4 linked regions of the Tamandua tetradactyla genome follow. The protein of the gene in region 2 binds, or shares a complex with, the protein of the main gene of each other region. Links are inferred from orthologs where the notes say so. Each region holds a gene or a part of one and is shown on either strand. Other genes may lie near its edges. The genes, in order: NUP107, NUP205, NUP160 and NUP214.

Region 1 (7,924 bases), on a different chromosome or scaffold from region 2:
ATTTCTTCTGGTTAGCAAACTATCAGAAAAAAAAACCATCTGATCGGCATTTAAAAGTTGCTGATGACACACTTTACATCTGTAATGAGAAGCTTAAGGTTTGTTTCCTGAATACCTAAACAAAAAATAATTTCAATCCATATAACCCAGAGTTATTTTGATTTATGATGAATACGATGACAATTCTTATTAAAAGAAAAGGTTTTTCAGTTGAATTTTATACCTTCATAAAAAGGGGGAAGATTTCAGCCCCATTCTCCTACATACCATGGACAGATTTCCCAAGAACCCCGAAGACTGTGTAAGCCTGGGCGACCTTCCTCCTGTTCCAAGAATGCCGGAAGTATCTGGCTGCCTTAGTAAGCTTCGGTTCAGGGGAGTAACTACAAATAAGAGATTAAGAAAAACAAGCTAACAAACAATCCAGCATAAGTAATTTTCTGTTTTTAGTTCTTTAAAGTCTAAACAAATAAATACTTTAAATGTTAACATTTTCTTGACTGGGAGATTTAACTTTGCTCCGCTAACTTTGAGTGTTTGGTTTTTACCACAAATAGAGATGCTTTCATTATAAAATAACTGAAGAATAAAAAAAAAACACAACAATAATGAGTTAATGAATTCTTAATATTCTAATTTTATAAAGCTTACTAAGAAAGAAGTATAGTGTAGAGAGCATGAGTTTTGGAGTAAGCAGACCACTTTTGAATTTGGTTACATTACTTACATACTTAACCAAGTTATTTAACATCTCTAAATCTCACTTTTAATTTTGAAAAAATGTAAATATTGAAAATATCTACATCACAGCTACCATGTGTTTATACAAAGTATAACTTGCATGTGGTAAGAATTCAATAAATAGTAGCTGTAATCACTACTATTATTATTATTAATTATTGATATTACAACCAAATATATTTATTACATGTACAACAAATGTTAGCACTATTATTAGTGCTATTATTAGATGTTTTAAAAGCAAAAAAAAAATCTTACAATGCGGTCGAAATGAGCTGGGAGTTCGAGGGATAACCTGGTTTCTTGGTGTAGTATTAGCTAAATTTTCATCTTGGGATGCTCGAACTGTTAGAAGAGTTAAAGAAAATTTTCCATGCAGAAAAGAGATCAAGTTAGGATTAAGCATATTTATATTACACAAAATATGTGAATACATTTTTTTCAAGAACAGTGCAGTTCATAGCAACTATTTTTTATGCAGTCAATACATAACAAATTCCTCTGTCAATGAAACTCTAAGTTGTCAGTCTTAAATTACTATATAGTGAATGAAGAGTTCTTAGTCTAAGTTCAAATAAAAAAAGGAACCATGTCAGCAGAACCTAACCACAATATGATAGTCAGCAGTAAAATGGAACACATTTTCAGGGAAACATAAAACTTACTATATTATCATGTAGCATTATATGCTACAATATTTAATAACTAGTGTTAATACTGCTCATAAAAATAAAATTCCATAACTGAAATTCCAAATATCTTGCAATTTTTATAATGATGTCTAAAATGCAAAGGATACTTAAAACTCTTTTTTGAGCACTCTGCTTCCGTGCAGTCCGTGTCACTTCTGCCTCCCGGATCACAGGGGATGACATCTCTCCAAAGTCACTCCTAAGTAGTACAATCAAGCTCATGTGAATGAACATTTACATCACAACTGTAGAAAAGCACTTAAGTTTGTTAAGGTAGGTCAAGATTTTATAAGTGTTAATGAAGGAAAATGTTCTTTCCCCTACAGGATGGAGAAACTCATCTTAAAGGATCTTCTGTAGTCTCCAAAATACTTCCATGGGTACTATGGAAAAGTCGGTTAGTAGAGATGTTTGAGCTTGTGAGATGGGAGGTTAAATAAAAACGAATGCCCATAAATTGGGAGAAACAACCCCAAGGTACCCTGTCTCCTGTCTTACCAATGTTGTACTTATAATGCTCCAGAGTTCCCCTGTTGTTCTCATCCAAAGGTCTAGAAACTAAACTGCATGGATTCAGAGATCTGTGTTCTAAAACACAAATCTAATTTGCTTTTCTTCCACTTAAAACCCTCAAGTCTGACCTACCTTAACAAACTTAGCTCCCTCCAGCTTATAGAATCAAGTCTAAATTCCTTTGCCTGGTATTCACAACCTGATCCCAGCTTACAGGTTTGGCCTTACATTCAGTCATAAACATCACTGCCATACAAATATATACTACATATGACCATTTATCTACACAATGCATGTACTTTCACACCCTCACACCTTTATACATGCTGCTCCTTTTACAGAGACCTACATTTATCCCCTTGTCTACCCGATGAACACCTATTCACTCATCAAGGGAACTCAGTTCTGCTCATTAACTTCCTAACTTTGACTCAAGTTTATCTCTTTTAACTTCACACAATGTTCTCATCTATGAAGAGAGGATGAGACTGCCTATTCTCTCCGCTGTTATAAAGACTAAATTAGCTAATAATATGCTTAAATGTTTAGCACAGTGGCAATCACACAGTTGACACTCAATTGTTGGCTACTGCCAGGAACCAAAAGTCTGAATTTGGATTCCGGTTCCGTCACTGGCTTTGTGATCTCAAGCAGTCACTGAGCATCTCTAATCCAGAGCCACCACTTAGCCTGCCCACCCTAGAAGCGAAAAATGTGTGGAAGCGCAGAATAGATAGATCACAGAGTCACCGTAGGAACGCAGGCGATTATCATTATCTGTATGCTCCACCCCTCATCCCAGCCAAGCAGCCTTTCTTACATCAGCTCCCAGCCAGTGAAAGGAATCTAGAGAGAGCACACAAGACCTCTTTGGCTTCCTCTGTAAGTCGGGTTTCACCTATTCCGTTCCACCAGCAGGCAATAGGGACAAGTTCCCGGGTTAAGCTGTCACCACCAGAACTGACCTGTCCATGGCTATGGCCTTCTTAACCAACTTAGGTTGCAATTCGGATCTAAATGAGCTACCGCGTTTCTGCCTTCCCGCGTTCCGGAAGCAAACCCTTCAACCCGGAAGCACTCCCGACTGAACTCCCGTTAGTGAAAAGAGATGGGGGAGAAGAAAGGAAACAAACAAAAAGCGCAAAAAAGCCCATGACTTTACTATCGGGCGCATGCGCAACCCTTTCCTCCCGTAGGCGCCGGTGCCGGCCTGATCGGCGCAGGCGCGAACGGATGTCCGTGTGTGACCGCGCCCAGCAGGGCCCGGTTGGGCTGGGGGCGGGGTCTGGGCCGGGGGCGGGGGGTGGGCAGGAGGTGGGTCTTGACCTGTTTGGCCGTGACCCGTTTGGCCGTGACGTATGTCTTCGCTTTTCCTCAGTGGTGTTTGTCTCCGCGCTGAGCTAAGGTACTGGAAGCTTGGCGACGTAGACTGCTAATATTGAAAAATGTGAATAATTTTCTTGTATTCTTGGTTAGAAGATGTCTGGACTTGGAATCCTGACGTGCTGGCTCTGCCTACACCTACAGGGTCCCTGACTCAATCACTGCACTCACCTGGTTTGAATTGGTGATATAACCCCCTACAGATTTTGAAACTGTTCTCAGTAATTGCTATTTGTCCTTCACTTGATTTTTTTTTCCCATTAAGAGGAAAAGGATCAGCTGTTCTAAAAAGTCGAAAAGCAGCGTGAAAGGCGATGGGTTGCTCTCTATTTCAAAGCGCCGCCTCGGCAAAAAGTAGTGTCTATTTTGGCTCCAAAGAGATCAGTTGAAGTTTTGCTTTAGGCATTTACATTCCGCTCAAATTCTGGGAACCTTCGTTCCCAGAAAGGCCTCGTCATAACCTTATCTACCCTGAGGCAACACAGCGTGTTGAATAAAGGTGATTTTGGTGTGCCCCGATCGAGGTTTGATCGTCTCTGCCCGCAGATTCCTTTAGGACTCTGCAGGATGAAGATAAAAACACCTCTATCACGAAGTTGTGAGGATTAAAAATGAGATCGCAAATGTGCACTGCACATGGTAGATCATCGAAATATTAATTTTCTCCTTCAGTAACCCGGGTGATGAATCACATCTTGGAACTCGCTCATGTTCCCCACCTCCTAATTTTCCTGTACAAAAGTGCACTTGTTCTCTTATGGAAAGTGAACTGTGGTTCTAAATTATTTTTGTCAGTGGGGAGGCACATTTATTCGAAGTGTGAACCAGTGGCGCCTTTACGTGTGTCCCTTCCGCAAATGAATTCCAGTGGGTTTTACTGATATAAGTTATTCTTTGCTTTGTTGTGTTTTGGGTCGCTTATTTCAGTGACCCTTGCTGATTTCCATTTTAGGTATACATTAAGTGATTGATCTTAAAGCACAGTAGAAAAAGCAGCAGCAGCTTTGGGCAAAGTAATAGACCTGTTCAGTTCATATTCAAGTATAGTAAATTTGTTAACAAGTGTACAGGGATTCACTTTTGTCACATTTCATTAGTAGGCAAGAACATCTTGATGCCCCCAAACATTTAAAAGTTTATTCATTTGGTTGCCTTAAAACTATGTGGAATAAACTCCTTGTGTGGTGTATATTGTATACATGCTGGTTTTATGTTCGAGTTCTTGGTTGCAATGATAAAAATTCACTATGGCTAATTTAAACAAAAGGGAATTTACTGGAAGCATAGCAGAAGCTCATAGATTTTTATCAAAAAGTTGGAGAAAGGACTTTGAAAACTCATACCTCCAGGCAACTAGGGGGCCAGGAAGCAGCCATCCCACAAGCACTCAAGACAGAACATTTTGATCTGGAGCACACACACACTCACACACACACCCTGTAGAAGAATCTGTTTTTTTTTCCCCTCCCCTACTTTTTATGTGGAAAAGTTCCAAACCTACAGTACATTTCTCACGTTTTCTCTCTTTTTTCTTGAACCTTTTGAGAGTTAGTTGCAGTCATCTTTAACACTTCACCCTAAATACTTGAGCATACATCTCCTAAAAACAAGGAGACATTCTCCTACATAGTCACAATGAAATTTCCCCACTCAGAACATTAAACAATGATGTAACTACCATATTTAAATTTCCCTAACTGTCCTAATAATGTTCTTTATACCTGTCCTCTCCACAATCCTGGATCCATGTTTTCATTTCCGATGCTGCTCAAAGCAGATACTATGAAACGAGTTGGATTTAAACAATGAATGGGAACGTTTTAACTTACAGTTTGAGGCCATGAGAATGTCCAAATCAAGGCATCATCATGGTGATGCTTTCTTCCCAAAGACTGGCTGGCGAGCCCTGTTCCTCTGTCATATGGCAGGCGGCATATGGTGGCATCTTCTAGTTTCTCCCTTCTCTTCTGGATTTCATTTTCTTGCTTCTGTGGCTTTCTTTTTCTCTATCTGAATTGTAATCTCTTATAAAGGATTCCAGTAAAGGATTAAGACCCATTCTAAATGAGTGTGAGTCACACCTTAACTGAAGTAGCCTCATCAAAAGGTCCTAGTTAAAATGAGTTTATATAAGTTGAATTAAATTTAAGAACATGTCTTTCTGGAGTACATATAGCTTCAAATCACCACAGTCCAATATAGGATCATACAGTTAGTTGTCATGTGTCTCTTTGTTCTATTTTAATTTATAATAGTCCCCAGACGTTTTTCCCCCTTTTAAGTCACTATTTTGAAGAGGCCAGATCAGTACTACAGTATGTCTTTTAGTTTGGATTTGTCTGATTGTTTCCTCATGGTCAACACATTTGAACGCATTGAGTGTGTGTGTGCAGAAATACTTCGTAGGTGTCAATCACATCAGCTGACGTGAAAGAGGAGTTTACCTTGGCCTCAAAATATGACTGACACCACCACCCCTCTCCACCCCACTTTCAAAAGAAAACATCCTTTTACCTGCTTTTCTTTCTATCTGCCATCTTTTCTTTCTTCATCCCTTCTCAGCCAAACTTCTGTTTTGGTACATTTTAAATAGCTATTATTGGCTTTCTTACTATAAATCCAATATGTGTGTCTATTATGGAACGATAAGAAACTAGACAATAAGCAAAGGGACAAATTAAAGAATTTTCATAAGCCTATTCACTATATCTGACTATAGTCCATGAGAAACCCGCATCATGAATTGCCCAGCTGAATCCAATTTATCCCCAGAACCAAGAGAAATAATAATATATTATTGTTTTATGCCAGTAAATTTGGGGGTGGCTTGTTATACAGCAAAACATAATTAGATTCCTTTCCTGGACCGTGCCTACCCACCCCCCAAAGATAATTAGAACAAGTGGGATTATACTATAACACTGTTTTATAATCTGCTTTTTCACCACATATGAACATCTTTTATATCAGAAATTATTCATCTACACCATGTTTAATTTAGTCATTTAAAAAAAGAGAGGAAAAGAGAACATTCTTTTTTGACTTTTTGTCTCCACTTCCATTTACAGTACAACCTGATGCTGTCTGATTCAACCCCACTGCTAAAGTTCTAAACAAGGTCAACAATGATGTCCTTGCTAGTGAAAGTTTATTCATGGTAAGAGGCTGCAGGTGACAAGGGAGGAGAGTTGGAGTGGGTGGAGGGAGGAGAAGGGCAGGAGAAGAAAAAGGTGCGAAGGTGGCGGCTCACTCTGGACCCAGAGGGGGCAGCATGATGAGGCGGGTAACCCTGTTCCTTAACAGCAGCCCCAAGAATGGAGAAGTGGTTGCTTTGTATGGAACTTTATTTGATTTGCTTTCTGTGGCCAGTAATAAACTTGGCATCAGCCACCAGCATGTATAATGAGAAAGGTGGGCTGATTGATGATATTGCTTTGATCAGGGATGATGATGTTTAGTTTGTATGTGAAGGAGAACAATTTATTGATCCTTAGATTCTAAACCACCTGAAGGACTGACAGGATCCCACACAGATTGGCTAATGGAGGGCGGTAGTTTACAACTACACAGAGCACTTTGGTAAATGAAGAACCTATAGTATGCTGGCCCACGTGTTTAAAGACAAAGGTGTCTGGGGAAATAAGCAAGATTGTAGAGGAGTTTCTTAATTGACTGAAGTCCTGAGTACTTTGAACCCATTGTGAACTATTTGCGTCATGGACAGCTCATTGTAAATGATGACATTAATTTACTAGGCGTATTAGAAGAAGTAAGATTTTTTGTTATTGACTCATTGATTGAACATCTTGAAGTGGCAATAAAGAATTCTTAACCACTAGAGGATCATTCACCAATATCCAGAAAAGAATTTGTCCAATTTCTACTAGCCACTCCAATTAAATCAGAGTTGCTTTGGCAGGGTTTGAACTTCAGTGGTGCTGATCTTTCTCATTTGTACCTTCAATACATTAACTTCAAAATGGCCAGTATAAGCCGTTGCAGGCTTGCACATGCTAATCTCTGCTGTGCAGATCTTGAATGAGCTGATCTCTCTGGATCAGTGTTTGATTGTGCAAATCTCCAGGGGCTCAAGATGCTATGTTCTAATGCAGAAGGGGCATCCTTGAAACTGTAATTTTGAATTGGTCTTAAAGCCAATTTAGAAGGTGCTAATCTGAAAAGTGTGAATATGGAAGGAAGTCAAATGACAGGAATTGACCTAAGAGGTACTACATTTAAAAAATGCATAGTTGAAGAATTGTAACTTAGAGGAGCAACTGTGGCAGGAACTGATTTAGAGAATTGTGATCTGTCTAGGTGTAATCTTCAAGAAGCCAATTTGAGAGATTCCAGTGTGAAGGGAGCTATATTTGAAGAGATGCTGACACTGCTACATATGTCACAGAGGGTCAGATGAGAATTTCAGGGGCTTATAGAAGATGTCCAAGATGAGAAATAATTTTCTTATCACTTTTCCTCTCCACTCAGTTGTCTAGAAGAAATAACACTGTAAGGGGATAAGAAAACATTTAGAGGATTGTGCTTGTTCTCAACAGTGCATAAGGGAAAAAAATGCCTTTTTCCCATATTCTGAT
Region 2 (8,075 bases):
AATAAATGATAGAACCTCTTAATAACTTTCTTTGTATTCTAGTCTTAGTTTAATAAACTCCATGAGTTCTAGTGAAAAGTTCCATTTTTTTTCTTTTTATAAGGAGGCATCCAACAATAGGTCAAAAATCTGTACCAAAAAACCCACATATACTCTTTACTCCACCATAATACTAACACATCATAGAAGCCAGCTATAACTAAGTTATATCTTCAGTTTTATCTTCAACTTGGCTAATTTTAGTCAATATCTGTTATTGACTACAAATGAAAGGAGGCTATATACTTTTTCAGATTACCGAAGATGTGGGGGGTTTTATCTTTTATTAATAGACTTTATTTTTTGGAACAGTTTTAGAGTTACAGAAAAATTGAATACGTAATACAGTTTCCATATATCCTCCACCTTATACAGTTTCCCCATGAAGATGTGGTTTTGTTTGTTTGTTTGTTTGTTTGTTTGTTTGTTTTGGGTGCATGGTTCAGGAATCAAACCCAGGTCTCCCACATGAAAGGCAAGCATTCTACCAGTGAGCCACCAAAGATATGTTTTTAACATAAGTGATTTGCTCATTTTAGAAATACATTTATTTTCCTTAAGTTTTGAGAGAGCCTTCCAACAAGTTACCATTTATTCACTCATTCATCATGTATTAAATACTGTAAGCTTTCAAATCTAGTGAGAAAACACATTAATTATATAATCACATATAATTGCAAAATTCAGCTGTGGCAAGTGCTATGAAGTAGAGGTATCCAGGGCATGAGATCACTTAACAGGATTTGATCTAGTCAGGAAGGTCGGAGAAGGGAAAGTTTCCTTGAGGAGCAATGAGTAGTCTGAAATCAGGATTTGATCTAGTCAGGAAGGTCAGAGAAGGGAAAGCTTCCTTGACGAGCAATGAGTAGCCTGAAATTCCAAGGATAAAAGTGGAAGTTAACTGAGGGATGGGATCTGAGGACATGCATTTCTGGAAGCCAGAATGTGTGGGTTCCACGACAACAGGGAACACTGCACTGAACTGAAAAGGTCTCAGGAGAAGAGAGCTGGAGTGCAGAAAACAAAGGTTTAGCAAAACAGGCAACTGCCACACTATTCAGTCTCTCAGGCCATGATTTTGGTCAAGATGGAGCTTGAAAATGTCTGCTGGATTTAGTGAAATGGAAGAGCATGTTAATTTTAACTTAGGAAAACAGAACAGAACCCTCGTGGGTTGAAGAAAAAAAGTCAGTGAGTAGTGGCTTGTCTTTTGAGAGAAGAGAGAGGGCAAGGCTTTATTATACAATGTATACTCTTTGCAGCTGTTAGCAACTTCTTTTCCTTTTTTACTTTTGCTTCAATGATTTGGATATAGTGATACTAACTTGGGATAAGTACTTACTCAAAAAATGTTTCTAATCACATACATAACATACAAGCCTTACTTTTAAGTTTACATTTGTGGACTGTATGGTGTGTGAAGCTATCTCAGTAAAAATATTTTAAAAAAAAAAAGTAAGATACAATGACGATTGTATACTTCAGATGGAGTGTGTGGTGTGTGAACATATCTCAATAAAATTGCATTAAAATAGTAACAGAGGGAAAAAAAGGTTATATCAAGTTGAGGGAAGGGACAGCAATATTAAGGAGCTAAGTTCATTATTAACATTGAAATGTATGAAAATTGGATTAATAAAATGAATCCGGTTATAATTAGTAGTACGCAGTTATTTAAGCAGGTAAGATTGGTTTAGGATCATTAGTTACACAATCTTGTGGGAGTTACTGCTCTAAATTTCTATTTCCAATTGGGGCATTTATTAGCAGCTACCTCACAAGTACAAAAGGGATTATACTTGCATTAAGTGAACTAGTGCAAGTACAATATTTATTCCACTGCCTGGGACAAAAGTGCTCAATAAATATAAGCCTTCATTATTACAAAATAACGTGTCAGTATTTCTTAAATAGTTTGATTTGCAACTTAGATTTAGACAACCTTTCAGGAATAACAGTTTGTGAAAGCAGAATAAACCATTAAAAAAAAGTGTACAGAGACAGAAAGAAAAGGTGCCCACGAAGGAGTCCTTTTCGGTGAGATTCTGCACAAGGATTTTTCACGCAAACATTCTCTTAAACTGTGCACAATAAAGCTAAGTGCGGCTCAACCCGGGTGTTACTGACATTCTGTGCAGGAAACTCGTTTCCATAACAGTCCTGCCCGGTGCGAGACTTGAAGCATCCTTGACCCGCCCACTAAATGCCAGTAAAGCAACCCAGGAATTGTGACAGTCAAAATGCACCCCCTCTTTAAAACGCCCTTGTGGGGTGGCACCGCCCCGGGTCGAGAATCACCAAAAGAGGCCCCATCCCAAATCACCTAGCGTTCTTTTTCCACCTCTTACAATCTGCATTACCGCCATCTACTTTAGCCCCGAAGACCTACTGTCCCAAAAGTACTGAACATCTACTGTCGGATCACAGCCGCGGATCTCGGAATCATCTGCTGAGCCCGCGACAACCATTGCCTAGGCACCTTCGCCTGGGAACTCCGGTACTTCTTTATAGATTGGAGATTCGAATTTGCTCAGCCTCCGCTGGTGACTGAAAACTATCCCGGGTCCTCTGACCTCACTGTTGAAGACTCGACATATATTATGGCGAAATCCGGGCCACAGGCACCTCACGACGTGGGAATATAAGTGGGGATGGGAGGACCCAGGCGGTCCTGGGCCGTGAGATTGCAACACTGTTCCTAGGTACCACTTCTCATTGCCCCGACCCTCAAACCCCAACCCAAAGGATAGAGCCGCAGCGCCTACGCGCGCCATTCAAACAGGAGGGGCGGGCCCCTAGGCCTAGAGCTAGGGAAAAATATACACCGAGTACAAGTGGGATGTCTGGATACCAAGGAACCTCATAGCCCAGGTTATTCCACAAACAAACGATCACCGCCCTGCCTCTCCGTTTTCCTTCTACCCCGGCCACACTTACCCGAATTTACCGCCAACAGCGTCGCCATCTTGGAGGCGCACTAACGAAGCCCTCCTGTCGCTCGGAGGCCCCAGAAAGGGTGAGGCTGCCCGACGAGGCGCCTGAAAATAAAGGCCCCGCACTGCCATCTCTAAACAGCGCGCTGGGCTTACGCGGGAGTATGAAAAACTGAAAAATATGCTTTGAGCCACAAGCAGCAATTTTTCACCGGAATTGTTCCCATTCACATAGGGCAAAGGCAACCACGTCGGAAATGCAAGGTCCTCAACTTGACGTATTCGTGCAGTGCATCCTGGGACCTGTAATTTCTTCCTAATGATGCGTCAAGTGCGTTATGTACACTGGAAGAAAAGGTTTCCAAAGACAAGTTGTTGAAATAACGCATATTTATGATATTATAAAATCCATGAAATCAAATAAAATTATCTAAATTTTATGTTAAATCTTCTTTGCATAGCTCCGTTACCTTGGGACGTGGAGTTGGGTATGAGGTTTCAATACTTCTAAAAGTCATTTGACCTGTTACAAACAGGATTTTCAGCACATTTCAATATACAAAGTATACTGCATCAACATAATTGCATGGAGTGAAACAAATCATAACTTTTTTTACTAGAGAGGTTGTAGGTTTACAGAAAAATGCAAAAACTACAGTTCCATACACAACCCACTCCTGCCCCTCATGCACACATAGTTTTCTCTATAATTAAGACTTAGCATTAGTGTGGCATTCTGTTAAACTTGATGAAACAATATTATTATAATTATACAATTAACTATAGTTCATAGTTTATATATAAGTGAGCTCGTACAATTTTTTTTATATTGAATCTGGCTTTTTTCACTAAATATGATGTTTTCAACATTCATCCACTTTGTAACATGTATAAGAACTTCATCCCTTTTTATGGCTGAACAAGGTTCCATTGTACACATATAGCACATTTTGTTTGTCCATTCTTAAATTGATGGACCCTAGGGTTACTTCCATCTTTTGGCAATTGTGAATAATGCCGCTATGAATAGGGGTGTACAAATACCATTTGAGTCCCCCCCTTCCAGTTCTTTTGGGTCTATACCTAGAACTGGAATTGTCAGGTCATATGCTAATTCACACTTAACTTTCTAAGGAACTGCCAAACTATCCTCCACAGAGACTGCACCCTATTACAATGTCACCAATGTTGCCAATATACTGGGAATGAAATGGTATCTCATTGTGGTTTAGATTTGCATTCCCCTAATGGCTAATGATGTTGACCATATTTTCTTGTGCTTACCAGCCATTTGTATATCATCTTTGGAGAAATAGCAATAAAAATCTTTTGCCCAGTTTTTAACTGGATTGTGTTTTTGTTATTGAATTGTAGGATTTCTTTATATATACTGCATATTAAGCCCTTAGCAGATATGTGATTTTCAAGTATTTTCTTGCATTCTCTAGGTTGTCTTTTCACTGTCATGAAAAAATTCTTTGATACCGCAAAAAATTAATTTTGATGAATTCCAATTTATCTATATTTTCTTTTGTTGCTCATTCCTTTCAGGTAAAGACTAAGATACCACTGCCTAACACAAGGTCCTGAAGATGCTTCCCTATGTTTTCTCCTACTGTTTTATAGTTTTGGTTAGCATATTTATATCTGTGATACATTTTGAGCTAATTTTTGAATGTAGATATCCAGTTTTCATTCTTTACACATGGATATCCCATTTCCCCATTACCATTTGTGGAAGAGATCATTCTTTCCTGACTGAGTGGAAATAGCACACATGTCAAAAATCAGTTGGAGTCTTACTCAAACTCGTAGATAACTGAAGGAGGAGGGAATGCTACCTAACTCATACTATGGAAGCAATACCATCCTAATATCAAAGCCAGATAAAAAAAAAAAATAAGAAGGAAAATTACAGACCATTCTCCCTAATGACATGGGTGCAAAAATCCTCAACAAAATACTTGCAATTCAAATCCAATTGCACATTATAATAATTATACACCATGATAAAGAGAGCTTTATCTCAGGTGTGTAAGGGTGGTTCAACACAAGAAAATTAATCAATGTAATAAATAACATTTAAAAATTGAAGAAGAACCACATGATCGTATTGATTGATGCACTAAAAGTGTTTGACAAAAAACCAGAATCCCTTCTTCATAAAAACACTTTGAAAAATAGGAATAGAAGAAAACTCTCTTAACATGATAAAGGGCACATTTGAAATGCCCACAGCTAATGTCATACTCAATAGTGAAAGATTGAAAGCTTTCCCACTAAGATCAAGAAAAAGATAAGCATGTCTACTGTCACCACTGTTATTCAATATTGTACTCGAAGTTCTAACTAGAGAAATTAGTCAAGAAAAAGAAATAAAAGGCATCTAAATTGGAAATGAGGAAATAAAATTTTCACTATTTGTAGAATATATGATGCTATACCTAGAACGTCCCCAAAAATCTACAACAAAGCTACCAGACCTAATAAATTAGTTCAGCAAGGGATATAAGATTAACATGAAAAAATCAGTAGTGCTCTATACACTAGTAATGAACAATCTGAGGAGAAAAATAGGGGGAAAAATCAATTTACAATGGCAACCAAAAGAATCAAATATCTAGAAATAAACAAGGATGTACAAGATAAGTATTCAAAAAACTACAAAGCATTGCTAAAAGAAATCAAAGATCTAAATAGATGTTCATGGATTTGGAAAACTAAATATTGTTAAGATTCCACCCAAATTGACTTACAGACACAATGCAACTCCAATCAGAATTCCAAAGTCCTACATATAGAATTGGAAAATCTAACTCCCAAATTTATTTGAAAGGGTAAGGAGCCCCTTACCCCTTGAGATGAAAAATGAAGTTGGAGTACTCTCATTTCCCAACTTAAAGCACTTTGCAAAGCTTTATAAAGTGATAAAATAGCATGGTATTGGCATAAAGATAGACATTGACCAATGGAATTGATTTGAGAGTTTAGAAATAAACCTTAAGATCTAACATGAATTGATTTTTTCACAGTAATAAAAAAAGTTCAATGGCATAAGGATAGACATATTTATCAATGGAATAGAAGAGAGCTCAGAAATAAATACATGTATCATGGCCAATTGACTTTTTTTTTCAAAGTACACTTCAACAAGTAGTTACAGAACAGATTTCAGACTTTGTTATGGATTACCATTCCACTATTTCAGATTTTTCCTTGTAGTTGCTCCAAAAGACTGGAGGCTAGAAGTATTTTTTTTCTTTTTTGTGAAAAATAACATATATACAAAAAAGAAATAAATGTCAAACATAGCACAACAATTAGTTGTAGAACAGATTTCAGAATCTGGTGTGGGTTACGATTCCACAATTTTAGGTTTTTACTTCTAGCCGCTCTAAGATACTGGAAATGTCAACGTAATGATTCAGCAATTGCACTCTTTTGTTAAACCCTACCTTCTCTGTATACCTCTACCATAGCCTTTGATTCTTCTCCCATTCTTGAGGGGTATTGGGGCTATGCCCATTCTAACTTTTTCATGTTGGAATAGGGTATCGATAATATGGGATAAGGAGATAAAACTAGCTGGTGTTCTGGAGAGATTGGCCCCTCAGCAATCATACTCTTTTGTTAAACCCTACCTTCTCTGTATAACTCCACCATTGCCTTTAATCTTTCTCCCACTCTTTATGGGTATTTGCGTTATGCTCATTCTAACTTTTTCATGTTGTAAGGGGCTGTCAATAATATGGGTTAGGGGGATGGAACGAGATGATGCTTTGGAGAGGCTGGCCCCTCTGTGTTTCAGGATTTATCTGGTCCAGGGACCATCTGGAGATTGTAGGTCTCGAAAAGTTACCCTAGTGCATGGGGCCTTTGTAGTATCTTATATAACACCCTAGGTGTTCTTTAGGATTGGCCGGAATAGTTTTGGTTTGGTAAGGTATGGTGGGTAGCAATATCTAAATGAAGCTTGCATAACAGTGACATCCAGAGTAGCCTATCAACTCTATTGGAACTCTCTCAGCCACAGATATCTCATTTATTCCACTTCTTTTCCCCCTTTTCTGGATGGCATTACTGATCCCACGGTGCCAGGACCAGACTCATCCCTGGGTCAATCGATTTTTCACAAGGTTGCCAAGTCCACCCAACTGGGACAGCACAGTCTATTCAACAAATGGTGCTGGAAGAACTGGATTTCCATATCTGAAAGAACGAAAGAGGACCCCTATCTTACACTTTATACAAAAATTAACTAAAAATGGATCAAAGACATAAATATAAAAGCCAAACCCATAAAACTCCTAGAAGAAAATGTATGGAAGCTTCTTCAAGATATTATGGTAAGAGGTGATTTCTTAGACCTTACATCCCAAGCAAATGAAGAAAAGAAAAATAGATAAATAAAGGACTCAGAATTGAATACCTTTGTGCTTCAAAAGACTTTGTCAAAAGGTGAAAACGCAGCCTACACAATGGGAGAAGATATTTGGAAATCACATATCAGAAAAGGGCTTTTATATCCAGGATATACAAAAAGATCCTGCAACTCAATGGTAAAAAGACAACCCAATTAAAAAATGGGCAAAAGACACAAATAGACATTTTTCCAAAGAGGATATACAAATGGCTAAAAAGCACATGAAAAGAAGTTCAATCTCACTAGCTAATAGGGAAATTCAAATCAAAACTACAATAAGATATCATTCACACCTACAAGAATGGCCACTATTTAAAAAAAAATTGAAAAGGAAACTTCAAATATTGGAAAGGATGTGGAGAAATAGGAACACTTACTCACTGTTGGTAGAAATGAAGAATGGCACAATTGCTGTGGAAGAGTTTATAGATTCCTCAGGAAGCTAAGTATAGAACTGCCATATGATCCAGCAATCCACTTCTAGGTATATTCTCAGAAGAACTAAAAGCAGGGAATTGAAAAGACACTTGAACACCAATGGTCATAGTGGCATTATTTACAGTTTCAAAAAAATGGAAACAACCCAATTGTCCATCAACTGACGAATGGATAAACGAAAGGTGGTGTACATATAATGGAATATTATGCAGCTGTAAGAAGAAATAAAGTCATGTCACATT
Region 3 (7,069 bases), on a different chromosome or scaffold from region 2:
ACCCACTCCGCTCAGGCATCTGCCCCACCAGTCTACTGGAGCAGTTTCTGCCAAGGCTACCAATGACTTCCACAAGGCAAAGGTCAATTTTCATTTCTCATCCTACCCAAATCAAATGTGGTGTTTGACAATTTTTTTGCTCTCCTCCTTGAAACACTTTCCTTAAGATTATGAGACAACACTCTTTCACCTCACTGGCTATTCCTCCTCAGTCTTCTTCACTAGTTCCCCATTCCTGAATGCTGGAGTGCCCTGGGGCTCAGTCCTCATACTTCTCTTCCCTCATCTACACAAGTGACACTCAGCTGGGATAATTTTCCTCCCTTCCCTCCCCACCAAGGACATTTAGCAATATCTGGGGACAATGCTGCTACACCGGGGGCGAAAGCAGGAAGAAGCTTGGCGGCCCGCAGCGGTCAAAGGCTGGGGAGGCTGCTCAGTATCCTGCGGCATCCCCTCTGACAAGGAATGACCTGGCCCCAAGTGCTGACCGTGCTGGGATGAGAAACCTCAGGTGATCTCATTCAATATACAACAAGCTTAGATGCCATTTCATGCCAACGATCCCCCAAACTGTATCTTCCACCCATCCTGTCCACTGAGCGCCTGACTACTGTCTGAAGATCTCCACTTGGAAAGACATAGCAAACTAAACTCACCCAAAACCGAATTCCTGCATATCAAGCTCAAAAAACCAAAAATATCTGTTTTTCTGCACTATTTCCCATCTGAGTTAATGGCATCTCACAACTTCCAAATGTTCAAGCCAAAAATCTTGGGGTCACCCTTAACTCTTCTCTTTCCATATACTCTACATCTGATTCATTAGTAAATTGTAATAAATTCACCTGGAAAGCATATCCACAATCAGACCATTTCTCACTACTTCCATCCTTTCCCCACTACATTCTATTGCTAATACAGTGGCCACAGTGATCAAGGTTTTAAAACACAACTTAGATCATGTCATTCTTTACTTAAAATGCTCTAATGGCTTCTTCCCATCTCATCCAGAGTAAAAAGCCTAAGACTTAAATAAGTGACAAAGCTCTGATCTGGCCCTGGGATATCTCTCTCATTGTTCTACTATTCATTCAGACTCCTGACACCCTGCTATTCTTCTGAACACGACAAGCTCCCTTCTCACAGTTCTTTGCATTTTTTTGTTTCTTCTGAGAATACTCTACCTGAAATGCTCCTCCCTTGGTATCCTCACTTTCTCTGCTCAAATAGTCTACCGACTTCTGAGTTCTGCCTTACCATTCTATGTAAAACAGTAATTCCTGTAAGCATTTCCCTTTCCTCTTGACTTGCTTCCTTGTTCTCTATTCCATTTACTGTCACCTGACAAGTTCATTTACTTTTTTTGTTGTTGTTGTTTTTTTACCTGTCTCCCTCCATGAGTGTGGAGAATTTTTGTCTGTTCTGTTACCCCTATATTCCCAGTTCCTAACTGTAGACTGGAACATAGCAGGCACGCAAAAATATTTCTTAAATAAACGAATTCATATTTCTAATACAGGTCTCTCTTCTGAGTCTCAAGTCTGTAAATTCCAATACCTACCAGATATTTCCAAGGGCTGCAGCACTGGTACCTCAACTTTAGTATGTCCAAAAGAATTTCTCTCCAAACAAGTCTCTGTATCTCAGTAAATGACACTCCCACCCCTCACTTCCTGTTAGTCACATCAGAACACCTGGGTTTTTGTCTCTGTTCCCTCCTTTTCCCTTACCCCTCCCAACTCCATATTCAATTTGTCACCAAGTCTGAGTAAATCTAACTTCTAAATGTATCTGGAATCCATTTATTCTGTTTTCTAGCCACTACCACAATCTGAACCACAGCATCTCTTCCTTGGACCATTGTAAAAGGAAAGTGTTCTTGTGTAACAGTCCCACTCAATCCAAGTTCATTTTCCAGACATTGAGACCAACTGCTTAAAAATGCAAATCTGATTGTGTTAAAAACTCTTTAAAAACACTTTTTTAATGACTGCTCGATGTACTTAGGATAAAATCCAAAATCCTTAGAATGGCCTGACATATAGAAGTTCAACAAGTGTTCGAAAAATGAAGGAAGCTGTCAAGTGCTATGAAAACAATGGAACAAGTAAGCTTTCCTTATTGAGAAGCAGAAAGTCCTTGTGAAAGTGTGGAAGGCACAGAAACATAGTTAGCTAAATTAAAAAAAATAAAGCGTTGCTCGATTATAAAAAGAAATAAAACACCACCACAGTAAGTTCATGCTTAAATCCTGGTCTTCAGGGATTTATCCCTAAGCTCCATTCCCTCTGCTTTAGACTGGGGTGGGGATGGGATTTCACGCCTAGAATTCTGGGCCACTCTAATTTTTCTCCTGATTCGGAAATGAATTGCAAACAGTCTTTCTACTTTGCCAGATGTCGATTACTGCTTCGCAGAATGACGGAAGAGCCAGGAAAATCCAAACTCCGAATAACCGTACCTTCTAGAAGGGTGGACGAGACAACACTTACCAATGAATGAATCTGTTTCTAGTGATGGAGAATAACTTGCCGCTTTCCACATAGTAGAAACCTCCCGCGCTCTCGCTGAATTTCACCGCTCCCGCCACGGCATTTACGGTCCCTGGAAAAGGAGGGTGGTCAGTGCGCACACGAGGTTCTCGGGGGATGACAGGGGCTAAGTGCGCCGAGGGAGCACAGAGTGACGGGCTGACAATCCACACAAAGGGAAGGGAAAAGGAGGAAGAAGCCGGACACTGGGGAAGATCCGATCCAAGGGCCAGCAGAATGTGGACTGAGAAGATGAACCCGGCGAGGTGGACAGAGACCCGGGGAACCGTCGGAAGGCCGCGCGCTCTCTGGGACCGCTTCCGTACCAACGCTGCAGACCGTAAATTCCCGAAAATGCCTCTGCCTCTCGCGCTCAGCTCCCACTATCTCCACGAAGCTCCGTTCCAGGGCTCCCGCCGCCGCCATCTTCCCGCGCCGCCGCGAGGCCCGACGGGACACGGCAGGGCCAGGTGGTCTGCGTACTTCCGGGGTGGGGCTAGCGGGGCTGCCGGCAGAGGCGAGGGCCGCCCGCCGCTTCCTTGAAGGCTTCCACAGAGTTGCCAGGAGACTGCAAGGTGGGCAGAGAGGAAGCGCCTCTGTCTGCAGGAACCAACGAGTGGCCGGCTAAGGTGCCTCAGGCGGGCTTCGCCCTTTTCCCGGCGGCCTTAGCGCGCTGCGAGGCGGGGCCTCGCGGGCGCGGTCCTGTGCGTGGTCTGGCGCCCTCTGCGGGTCTAGCGCCCTCAGCCGGTCGGGCGGCCGCCGCCTCCGTAGGTCTGTCAGTCTCCCTTCGCCTGTCAGGGCGGTATTGGAGGTGACAAGGGACCTTCTGTGTTGTATTGGATTTTCTCACGCGACTGTGTTCGTTTTTTCTTGAATAATGACACTCGATGTGTTAAATGAGAAGTTGGTGCCGCGACCTGCTCAAGTTTCGTTACGGAACCCCCAAAAGAGGAGCCGGGCTCTCGTCCCGGCTGTCGAAGCCGTGGGCCCGATTCTGGGCAGAGCGCCGTCTGGGTGCCGAGGACCATGCGCGTTTTCAAGGCGGGAGTTTCTTTCTTCACGAAGCCGGGCTTTGCTAAGGTTTCCGCGACCCTCGCCTGCCGTTCTGTGTGGCATCCGCCATCACTCAGCGAGGCAGCCCCTGAACCGCCTGCCCTCCGTGGCTGCCTCCTCCTTTTCACCGTCCTGCGTTTCCCTGAAAGTTTCTTGCGCCTGCTTAAATTCCATTAGGTTACCCCCTGGCTCGCTCTGTTCACGATGCTTTAGTTGAAAACCTACAACTTCGATGAAATCCAAATCTGCCTTTGACCAGGGCTGGAGAAAAAGTAGACGCCCTTAGGACGTGCCTCGCTCTGACTGCGTGAGGCGCCTCGTGTTCCGTGTCCGCTATTTCCTCAGCGTCCTGGAGGAGTATTTCATAGCTCTCTAACCCCAGCACCTCTTCCCTGGCCTCGCTTAGAAGGTGGACGCAAACGGGAATTCCCGGAGGGTTCTTCCCCGCTGCCGCATCTCCCCACCGGGCCGCACCTGCGCTCGTGGGGCTGCCTTGCCCGTCCTGCTGCTGCAGGTGGAATCTGGTGAGACACTCTCGCTGCCTTTCACTGCATCGCCACGTGCCTGCGGTCCTTCCTCTCTCCTACCGCTTGGTTTTTCCCTTTTCACTGGATTGGTCCTTTATGCATGCAAACTTGCCGTTATTCCCCCCCCCCCCCCCATAAAGAAAGCCCTTATTCGTCTCATTCTTTTCAGCTTCGACTGCACATCTCCGCTGCTCCCTGCATTTACAGCAAAGTTCAAGAGCGTTCTATCCAATTCCTGTCTTCCTGTTCTCGCTTAAACCTGCTTTTTTAAGGCTTTGGCTGTTACTGCTCTCTGAAACTGCATTTTGGAAGATCATCAGAGACATTCACGTTATATATCTATAATGGAATTCTCATTTCTAAACTTTACTTGACCACCTGCAGTATTTGACCAATTGACTGCTCCTTCCTCCTGGAAATACTTTCTTCACTTGGCTTTTAGGACACCCCATTATCTTGGTTTCCTCCTGCTTCACCAACTTTTCTTTTTTAGACTTTTTTTTTTGCTAGTTTCTCCTCTTCTCCTAACCTCTTAATTTTGGAGTACCCAGAACTCTGTTTTTTTTTTTTTTCTTGCATTTTTTTTATTGTGAAGTATAACATATACAGAAAAGTGATAAATTTCAAAGTTTAGAGTAAGTTTCAAAGTGTGGTGTGGGTTACAGTTCCACAATTTCAGATATCCCCTTCTAGCTTTTCTAATACACTAGAAACTAACAAGAAACATCAGTATAGTGATTCAGTAGTCACAGTGATTTGCAGATACTATCTTCTCTGTTACAAATCCTCCCTCTCATTTGATCCTTTTCCCAATCTTCAGGGATATTTGGGCAAGGACTGTTTCTAACTACTTTGCATTGAAGAGAGATGTGCTGGTTTGAATCTGTGGTGTACCCCAGAAAAGCCTTTAATCCTCATTCAATATTGCTGGCTGGGAGCTTTTTTATTGTTCTCATGGAGATGTGACTCACCCAATTGTGGGTATTAATTTTTTGGTTAGAGAGAGATGTGACTCCACCCATTCCAGGTGGGCCTTGACTGAAATCTTTTAAAAGAGGAAACATTTTGGAGAGACTCCCTTTTAGAGCAACGAAAATAATGAGAGCCAGAGTTCACGCTGCCATTTGGAGATGAAGAAGGAATATATCCCTGGGGGGAGCTTCATGAAACAAGAAGGCTGAAGAGAAAGCTAGCAGAGGGCACCATGTTTGCCACGTGCCTTTCCAGTTGACAGAGAAACCCTGAACTTCACCAGCCTTTCTTGAGTGAAGGTAACCACTTGTTGGTACCATTATTTGCACATTTTTATAGACTTGCTTTAATTGGGACATTTTCATGGACTTAGAACTGTAAACTAGCAGCTTATTAAATTCCCCTTTTTAAAAGCCATTCTGTTTTTGGTATATTGCATTCTGGCAGCTAGCAAACTAGAAAAAGTGCCAACAGAGATGTGTAGAGAAGCCGTATGAAACCAGGACTCAGACACTTGAAGAAAAGAAATCTTTGGCCCCAGACGATACTAAATTATGACATGAAACCCATAGTTTTGCCCCAGAGAAGCTAAGTGAGGGACACACAGATGCTTGGAGAGAAAGCCGCTGGAATCAGAAGATGGAAGCAATGAAACAAGAGCAAGGACCTTGGATGCCTGCCACATGCATTCCCACTGATGCAGGACAGATATCAACCTTTCTTCAGAGTTGAGGTATCTTTCTCTGGATGCCTTAGGTTGGACATTTTTAAGGCCTTAGAACTGTGAACTTGTAACTTAATAAATCCCCTTAGAAGTCAGTCTATTTCTGGTATATTGCATTCCGGCAGCTTTAGCAATCTAGAACAAACTCTTAGGCATATTTATAGGTAGGCTTAGCCTCTCATTACAGATAAAAGTTTCATAAGAAAAAGCCTCAAGATCAAGGGCTTGACCTATGACTTGGGAGTCCCTAATATTTGAGATAGTATCAGGTGTTTCCCAGATAAGGAAGTTTAACAGTTCCATATTTTTTCTCCAGTCCCTCTAGGGATTTTGCCACTACTTTTCGGCTATTTACCCAACATACTCTGGAATGTATTAGGGTACTACTTTAAGCTATACAGAATTACAAGATTGCATTGCCACTTCTAGGGTCCATATGTTTAGGTTGTTTAAATGAACTGGCCAAACAGGTTAAGTTAGATTGTGTGCTACATAAAATTTAAGTTGTGGACAAAATAAGCATCTCTTCCTTTGGTCAGATACAGTAGGTGGAGTTTTAAAATATAGCAATATCATTGTCATGGTTAGGGACAGGTGTCAACTTGGCCAAGTTGTGGTTCATCTGATTGGGCAAGCACTGGCCTGCCTGTTGCAATGAGGACATTTCATAGGATTAGGTCATGATCACGTCAGCTACATCCACAGCTGATTCCATTTGTAATCAGCCAAAGGGGAGTGTCTTCTGCAATTAGTGATGCTAAATCCAATCATGGGAAGCCTTTTAAGGAGGACTCAGAGGAGACAGGTGGCATTCCTGCTTTGGCTGGTGAGCCTCTCCTGTGGAGTTCATCCAGGCCATCCATTGGAGTCATCGGCTTCGCAGCCTGCCCTGTGGATTTTGGACTCTGCATTCCTACGGTCACGTGAGACACTTTCATAAATTTTATATTTGCAAGTGTTCCCTGTTGATTCTGTTTCTCTAGAGAACCCTAACTAATACATCTTGGTACCAGGAGTGGTTCTTAAGGAACAGAATCTTAAAAATGGGTTTTTATGAATGGTTTTCTACTCTGACTGGGCTCAGAGACACTAAGGACTCTGATTCCCGTAATCAGAATGACACACCCAATCCATGGACTGAGTTGGCAAAGGAGATAGTCAAAATATCATCATTCGATTCTCCTAATGCTTCGCTTGTACGAAGCCAGACTCTGGGGGATAATGTTTTTGACACCTTTACAGAGTTTTGTAGAAATAAG
Region 4 (7,090 bases), on a different chromosome or scaffold from region 2:
CTCAGGGCCAGGTGATGTATAGGGAATTTCATAGGAACTAGCAAACTTTGGACTTTATCAACTATGAAAACATAAAAAGAAGACAAAACAGAAAATGGAATATTTTAAGCATTGAGCGACAACTCCTTTATCCTCTATGTGAAATAATTTTGCCTCTAAATAAACACACATACGCAAACACACACACACACACACCCCTACCTGATACTTAATTATGTAGATAAAACTTAACTTTCATACAGAGGTAAAATGACACATTAAGTATTCCAGGGACTCTTCCTCATTCAACCTAGGGAAACTGACTTTGGTTGTTACTCTTTGCTGAAAACAAAGTCTTGTGCCTGCATTTTTGCAACAATGCTCCCAAATACTACACATTCCCATTTGTTTGAACAGTACTGTTGTATCAACTGAAAAGCCACAGACAAAACCCTTCTAGAAAGCCAAACCATCTTAAAATAAAAGCATAGCATAATGGAAAGTTCTTCTTCCCTCTAAGCTTGAAGGAACTACTCAACAGAAGAGAAATACAAAGGACCAAAGAGAATACCTAGAAAAGCTTTTCAGAATCCCACCTGGAATTTATTCTTCTTGGGAATCAACTTTAGGACTAAAACAGCAGTTTAACTTCAATATTGGAATGATTTCTTGAGAAGGAAACTACATTAGCACTATACAACACTCCTCTATTATGCAACATAAATCAGGTAACTTACCAATTTTATTGGGATCATCTCCAGGTTTATTTTGAATAAGAAGATTTTTAGTAGGAAAAATCTGCAATCCACTGGCTCCACCAGCAAAGACCAGACCATACTTATTGGACACAGCAAGCAGACTGGAGCGCCCCTTGGGCAACTCCTCAGGAGAGTCAAAGATTCTCACTTTCTTCAGTGCTCTAAACTGAAAATCCTATTGCAAAGGATAAAAACAAGACCAATTCAGGGCAAAAAGGAAATTACATCATGACTGTCAATATATGCCAACAGACCTAATTTCCAGTACAACAAAAATATATAATCCTGTGACGCCAAGGACTGTGTCTCAGCAGTCTTTAAACTTCCTACTCTTATCATAGTGGCTGGCATAGTAAGTATGTACTATATGTTGAATGAAATAAATGAAAATATGCAAACAAAAAAAAATCTTTCATGAAGACTTCCTTGACTAATCTGGCTCACGTTGAACTTTTCTTTTTCCTGATTCCTACTATATTTACTGTCAAAATCACTGCAAAACTGCATTTTGTTTATAATCTTGCCCTATTTTGCGTTATGTATGTATCATTTCATGACCCAGAACAGTGCTTAATAATTTGTGAAATGTCGAAAGCATCACCCAACTACAGTATAAGTGCTAACTTCTACTGCAGTAATCCTCAAACACATATTAAAATAACCACAGAAAGAGGACCAAATCCCAAGAATTGGCTTACTTAGAGTTCAAGATCTTTAAGCAAAACCAAGATGCTAGAAGAACATATAAAACACAAGTCCAAAATCCTCAACACAATCTACAAGGCTAGATATCGCTTGTCCAGTCCACCTCAGCAGCCTCACCTCATGACACAAGTGCACTACCAAGGTATACCAGTCACTATGTTAAATTGTATTCTATATGGTTAATTTTCCCCTTCAATTCTAAACTTACCTTCAAGAAAAAGAAAAACTAGATTGTTCGTTTCATACAGGATCACTATTGCACCCCATATACTAATTACCTTGGATTAGATATTTAATACATATTTGCTGAAAGATCAATTGAAATACTCTTCTCTAATTTCAACTGAGTGATTAGAAATTCACACAACTTTCCAAGTGAGATCATATTCATAGAATAAAGCAGAATAAAATTATTAGGCTTTATTGTAATTCTCGTGATAATGTCAAATACATTTGGGTGTTGGTCACATGGGTATAGTGGGCCAGTGGGATGAAGAGGCACAGAAGCTCTCTTTTCTGTTGTAATAAGTAACTCAAAAGGAAACTATAATCTCATAAGGCAGTTGTTCTGAAACTGTTCTTCTTTCCCACCATATTTGAGGAATAGGAACATTATTCCAGGGTAGCTCACTACAAGAGTGATTCTCAAAAGGGAAAAGAAGAAATCACTGCTCAAGTATATGAAACTACTATCCCTTAAATGCATTTCAATGATTTGTTGTTCACACAAACGCCTGAAATCTTATTGCAGCTTACTCCTTTTTAGTTGTTTCTTATTTAAAAGAAAGTAGCTCGTTTTCTGTACCTTCATTCTGTCAGAACGTTTTTAAGAAATATCATCCTGGTGGTTATCCCTGGGGATTCCTTTACCATCATCTGGACCACTTGTTCTTCCCCACTTTTCTGACTAAGCTGATTTCTGGTGCCAAAGTAGTCCTCCTATTCCAGTTAACTAAAAGTTCCATAGGTTAGGTGATATTCCCTAGCTATGTGCTAGGCAAGTCTGGACCACCCTATAGAAGTAGCAAATGAAGAATGAAGAAAAATAAACATGGATTTCAGCCCCCTGGTCAAATGCGACTTTGGGCAAGTTACTTTCCAAACCTCAATATGCTACTCTGTAAAATGGGTATATTACCAATTATTTCGTAGGAATACTGTGACCAATCAGGGAGACAATGGTTACACGGTGCCTAGCACACAGTAAACGCTTAATGAGTAGTAGTTACCACTACTGTGACTACTACATGAAAGTAGCCAACATAATTCAAGAGGCGTGAACAAGACCAACCAGGGACGTGAAACTGCATTCAATGGGACTACCACGCCAGCAACGCGGCACCGTGCCCCGGGACCCGCTGATGAGAACTCTGAACACGGTAAAACGTTCAAGAAGGAGGCGGGGCACCCGGCCGTTCCGCGGGACTCCAGGGCAACGCCAGGACTGAGTAAGGGAGGGAGCCCCCGGACAGCCTCTGACCTTCATCTCCCGCTCGGGGATCATCGCATCCATCTCGTCTCCCATCGCGCCGCACTCAGTTTGTCCAAGCAGCCACCCAGGCCGCCCGCGGCCTTACGCCAAGAGCCTAGGACGCTCCGAGACTAAACTCCTTCCCTCAGCGGTAGAGGCGCGCAGAGGATTCCGCATTTCCGGCGCGTTTTGATGATGTCACGCACCCCGGTTCGCGACGTGCCTTAACAAGACTGAGGAACACCCGAAGTCGCGCGCGCTCTCGGGGCCGATGCCTCCCATTGGGCGGCTCGAGTACGGGGCGTGGCCTCGGGACCCGCGCCTCGCGGCCTGGAGCTTGGAGTCCCGGCCGAGCGCGCTGCTTTCTCTGTGGGTTGCTTACGTCTAAGTGTCCTTCTCTCATCGTTCATTTGAAACTTCCCGGTAACCCTTGGATGTAGGCGGATATTGTTTCCGATGCAGAAGTCAGTTAGGAACTTCATTTCCAGCTCATGAGAAACTTTGGGGGCGAAGGCAGAGAGAAGTTCAGAAAGTGGGTGGGACAGGACCTCGCCACCCGAGACCATTTTGTATCTAGGGATGAAGGCTGGATGGGGCGGTTAAAGGGACCATATGCCAGCCTTGTTTACTCCTTTGAAGGTAATCATTTTAAGAACAAGAGCCATATCCACCCCTGGTCACAAAATTTGTTCGGAGCTTTGTGCAGAACACCTTAGAAAAGTTATCTCATCCCTAGGGATGTTAATCCTTAAAACATCCTCACCCCCAGGGATTATTGATTCCATTTAACTGATTAGGTAACTGAAACACAGAAGTTAAGAAAATTCCCTAGTGACCCTCAGTCAGAAAATGGTGGCGGCAGGATTAGAATTCAGATTATCTGGATATGCTGATAATCATTTACATAGATATAGAAGAAATTTTTGTAGTGGAATTACAAATGCTCTAGGACAGGGATTCTTAACTTGGAGCCCACACTCCCCAGGAAGTGTTCTGCCACCTGTTTTTTGTTTGTTTTGCTCCAAGCCTTCTTCTCATATGTAAATCAAGGATAACAAGAACCTATCTAATGGCATTGTTGGGAGAAGTAAATGAAATTCAGAGCTTAACAAAGCCGGGCACATAGGACACATTCATTCCATACTATTCTATATGTCATTCTATATCAGGTAGCTCTTCTGACTTTGCAGAGCACAGGAACTGCCCCCAAAATACACCAGTCAGGACGCTGATAAGTTTGTCTGGTTTATTCCCAATCTGTAGAGCAGATATTCCCACACCACACACACTCACATGCACACATACTTCATCCGCTTGAATTTACCTGACAAACTCCTTCCTTTTGTCATAGGGACAAAACCATATTGGCCATCCCCTAGTTATTGGTTACATTACAATTAGATTTGGTCTTTTAGAAATAAAACAGCTGAGGTTTCAAGATGAGCCCTTACCAAGAGAAGTAAGAGTCCTGGAGCTGACAGCCACAATCTGGAATACATACAGACCCCCTCTCCCAGGGACCACTCTCAAGACCCTCTACCCCCAGAGGTTGAGTTCAAAAAAGTGGTAAAAGAACTGATGAGATTTCCCAGCATATCCCCTATCCAATAAGGACACTTTCTTTCCTGCCCTTTCCAGAAGCCAGGACACGCTTTTGCTTGCACTCCTTTCACAAGTCTTCCTGCTGTCTTCTTGCAAGCTATGGAACCCACCGAAATAAGCCAAGTTATTTCTGTCTTCCTCTCTGAGTAAAACAGGAACACTGAATGTGATGGGTAGTCAAGGAAGGCTTTACTTTGTTCAGAGGTCCCAACCTGTCCCAGAGAGAGGTAGTGGGAAGAGGTGAGGACAGGCAGTTGCTAACCTAATGATCTTAGGGAGCAAAAAAAAAAAAACAAAAAAGGCCAGCGGGATGGAGGGAGTAGGATTTAACATATACAGGGTTGAATGTTTTGCTGAGGTTTAATCTTCAACTAGGCCTGTGCATTTGAAGCAGCTTCTTAGGCTGAAGATCAGCCAGTCATGTCCAAGTAGTCTTACTCCTGAACTGGTTGAGACCAGCAGACTAATCCAACTGGGCCATTTTCCAACTTCTAGGTGCTTTACCCCCTCAAGGTGTAGAGGCAGCACCTTGGAGCCTTGATTATTCGTTACTGAGGAGCGTGCAAGGAGCCCAACCTCCAACAGCCCCCAGATCTTTCCACTTAAGGCTTTGCAAAGGCTTCTCCAGACGGTAGCTCAGTCTTGGGCCAAGTCTAGGTACCCCAGAATTACAGGCAGTCATCCCTCTATGTTCCACCCCCTTTCCTAACATTCATCATCATCTGTATCTGACTCTAAATTCCATGGGTCTGTCCTGTTTCATTTCTGGAGTCTCAGTTCTTGGCCCATAGCAGGTGCTTAATAAATATGTTAAATGAATGAGTATGTCTAAGCCCTGCACAGGGAGGGGTAAAGGCTGAAGCCTCTGCTCAGTCCAAAAGGGGTCAAGTGTGACAGGAAAGTGTCTCCAAGACTTGGCAGAAGCTCTGCAGAATGCAGAACTGCAGAGGTAGGCCTGGTCTTAATGCAGACTGTGACACTGACTCAAACTCTGAGGCTGGGGAGGGTTAATCCTCACAGAGGACCTTCAGAAGAGAGAAGCTTTACCCAAGTGTTGACCTAGGAGACCGCCCCTACCTGCCTCTTTCCTTGTTTTCATCCTTGAGGCAGTCCTGAGAAGACACGAGGCATGGGCCAGGGGGATCATGAGACCTTGCCTCTAGTTTGGACTTTTCCATCTCCAAATTAACTCTCTGTCCTGGGGCAAGGCACTTTGTCCTTATGGACTGCCAATTTTCTCACCTATGAAACAAGAGGATTGGCTTAGCTAACCTGCAAGGTGGATTGGGCTCTTAAATCCTGTGAGTCTAATAAAGAACACAGATGCCCCAACCCAATCTCCAGGTTCAAAGTTTTGGGTGATTGGGAAAAGGAGAAATTAGTTACACAGCAGACACAGCACATGTCAGGATAAAATGGGAAGACTTGGAGCTTATAATGGTTGTTGACAAGTATCTGTTGACTAAATGGTGTAGTAAGGTAGGAAGGCAAACGGAGGAAGTTCAGCCAAGTTTTAAGCAGACTGAGATCAGAAAGGCAATCTTCTATTTCTCAGCTCTTGGCTTAGCGGTAGGGCAGACTTTTTACCATGAGTATTTTATTGTTCATTTTCCTGACTTACTCAGCATCCTCCCTTAAAGGTGGAATTAGGCCTTCTGAAAGTGAACTGGGATCCCCACCTGTGCCAGGCCAACAAGTCTGGGGTTGGCTCAGAGACTTGGAAGGAAAGACAGTGCCAGCTCCAAAGGAGGGGAACAAAGCCTCCCAGCCTCCCTGCCCTGTTCCCATCCCCTGCAATTTTTGGTTGAATGTCAGCCCTTCTGCACAAGGAGGGGAAAAGGAGGAGAGAAAAGAGGGAGAGAACAGAAGGCTCAGGACCACCCCCACCCCCCCCATCTACAGCCTCTTTAAGGGAGATAATTTGTGCTTTACAAAAAGATCACTGATTCTGTCCCACAAAGAAAACAACCAACCAACCCACAATGACCAAACAAACAAGACAAATCACAATGAGTCAAGAAGGCCAGGGAGCTCCAGAGGGAGGGGCAGGGGGTGAGGCAGCTGGAAAGGGCAGGGGCAGGTCCAGGTCCAGCAGGGGTCCTCAGGGCAGACTGGCAATGTCTCTCTCTGGAGGGGGACCAACTGGTTTGGGGCTGCTCTCATTGGCTTTTCCTTCAAACATCATGACTCTGGTTTGGAGGATGAGGAAAACAAAACAAAACAAAAGAAGATTAGGACTCCTTCCCCAATCCAGGAAAAGATCATCCCAGCCCCCAAGTCTGTGGAGTCCTCAACAGAATGCCCTCCCAGCTGTTCTCCAGCAGGATCCTCATGGAAGCTCAGGGCAGCAGCTGTGTGAAAGGCACTGCTACTCTGTTTTCCAGAGTAGAAAACTGAGGTGCAAAGTGGTGCCATGAGTTCTCAGAATCACACAAGTAGTCCAAGGCAGAGGCAGGATGAGACTCCAGACTTCTGACTTTACCTTCCCCTGCACACAATGCCTGGCATGTAGGTACCACAAGGCTGGGCTGAAGCTCTGTTCAAGAGAAAGTTTGTAAATACAAACCTGGCCAAT

The links.
Region 1: the proteins of NUP205 (region 2) and NUP107 are in contact, whole or in part, in a cryo-EM structure (PDB 7WB4), measured with the Xenopus laevis proteins. The link is inferred for Tamandua tetradactyla from reciprocal best matches to the Homo sapiens genes NUP205 and NUP107. Residues at the interface, in XP_041443600.1 of Xenopus laevis: Gly1247, Gln1248, Arg1249, Pro1250, Ser1458, Arg1506, Gln1507, Leu1983, His1991, Gln1995; in NP_001091312.1 of Xenopus laevis: Gln134, Glu136, Pro189, Tyr282, Tyr283, Gln770, Ser772, Phe773, Thr774.
Region 3: NUP205 (region 2) and NUP160 share a complex: the UniProt entries of both Homo sapiens proteins name them as parts of the nuclear pore complex. The link is inferred for Tamandua tetradactyla from reciprocal best matches to the Homo sapiens genes NUP205 and NUP160.
Region 4: NUP205 (region 2) and NUP214 share a complex: the UniProt entries of both Homo sapiens proteins name them as parts of the nuclear pore complex. The link is inferred for Tamandua tetradactyla from reciprocal best matches to the Homo sapiens genes NUP205 and NUP214.

The regions. Positions count from the first base shown.
Region 1 is NC_135333.1:136,834,109-136,842,032, reverse strand, and holds the start of NUP107 (nuclear pore complex protein Nup107), read right to left. Parts: upstream 3,178-7,924; 5' UTR 2,920-3,177; coding exon 2,912-2,919; intron 1,633-2,911; coding exon 1,541-1,632; intron 1,087-1,540; coding exon 1,000-1,086; intron 384-999; coding exon 268-383; intron 1-267. UniProt on the Homo sapiens protein: Plays a role in the nuclear pore complex (NPC) assembly and/or maintenance. Required for the assembly of peripheral proteins into the NPC. May anchor NUP62 to the NPC. Involved in nephrogenesis.
Region 2 is NC_135327.1:178,269,946-178,278,020, reverse strand, and holds the start of NUP205 (nuclear pore complex protein Nup205), read right to left. Parts: upstream 3,229-8,075; 5' UTR 3,005-3,228; coding exon 2,977-3,004; intron 1-2,976. UniProt on the Homo sapiens protein: Plays a role in the nuclear pore complex (NPC) assembly and/or maintenance. May anchor NUP62 and other nucleoporins, but not NUP153 and TPR, to the NPC.
Region 3 is NC_135334.1:124,603,019-124,610,087, forward strand, and holds the start of NUP160 (nuclear pore complex protein Nup160), read right to left. Parts: upstream 3,004-7,069; 5' UTR 2,961-3,003; coding exon 2,861-2,960; intron 2,608-2,860; coding exon 2,496-2,607; intron 1-2,495. UniProt on the Homo sapiens protein: Functions as a component of the nuclear pore complex (NPC). Involved in poly(A)+ RNA transport.
Region 4 is NC_135328.1:54,076,173-54,083,262, reverse strand, and holds the start of NUP214 (nuclear pore complex protein Nup214), read right to left. Parts: upstream 3,122-7,090; 5' UTR 2,968-3,121; coding exon 2,923-2,967; intron 913-2,922; coding exon 717-912; intron 62-716; coding exon 1-61. Other genes in the region: AIF1L (allograft inflammatory factor 1-like), read right to left, coding at 6,617-6,704. UniProt on the Homo sapiens protein: Part of the nuclear pore complex. Has a critical role in nucleocytoplasmic transport.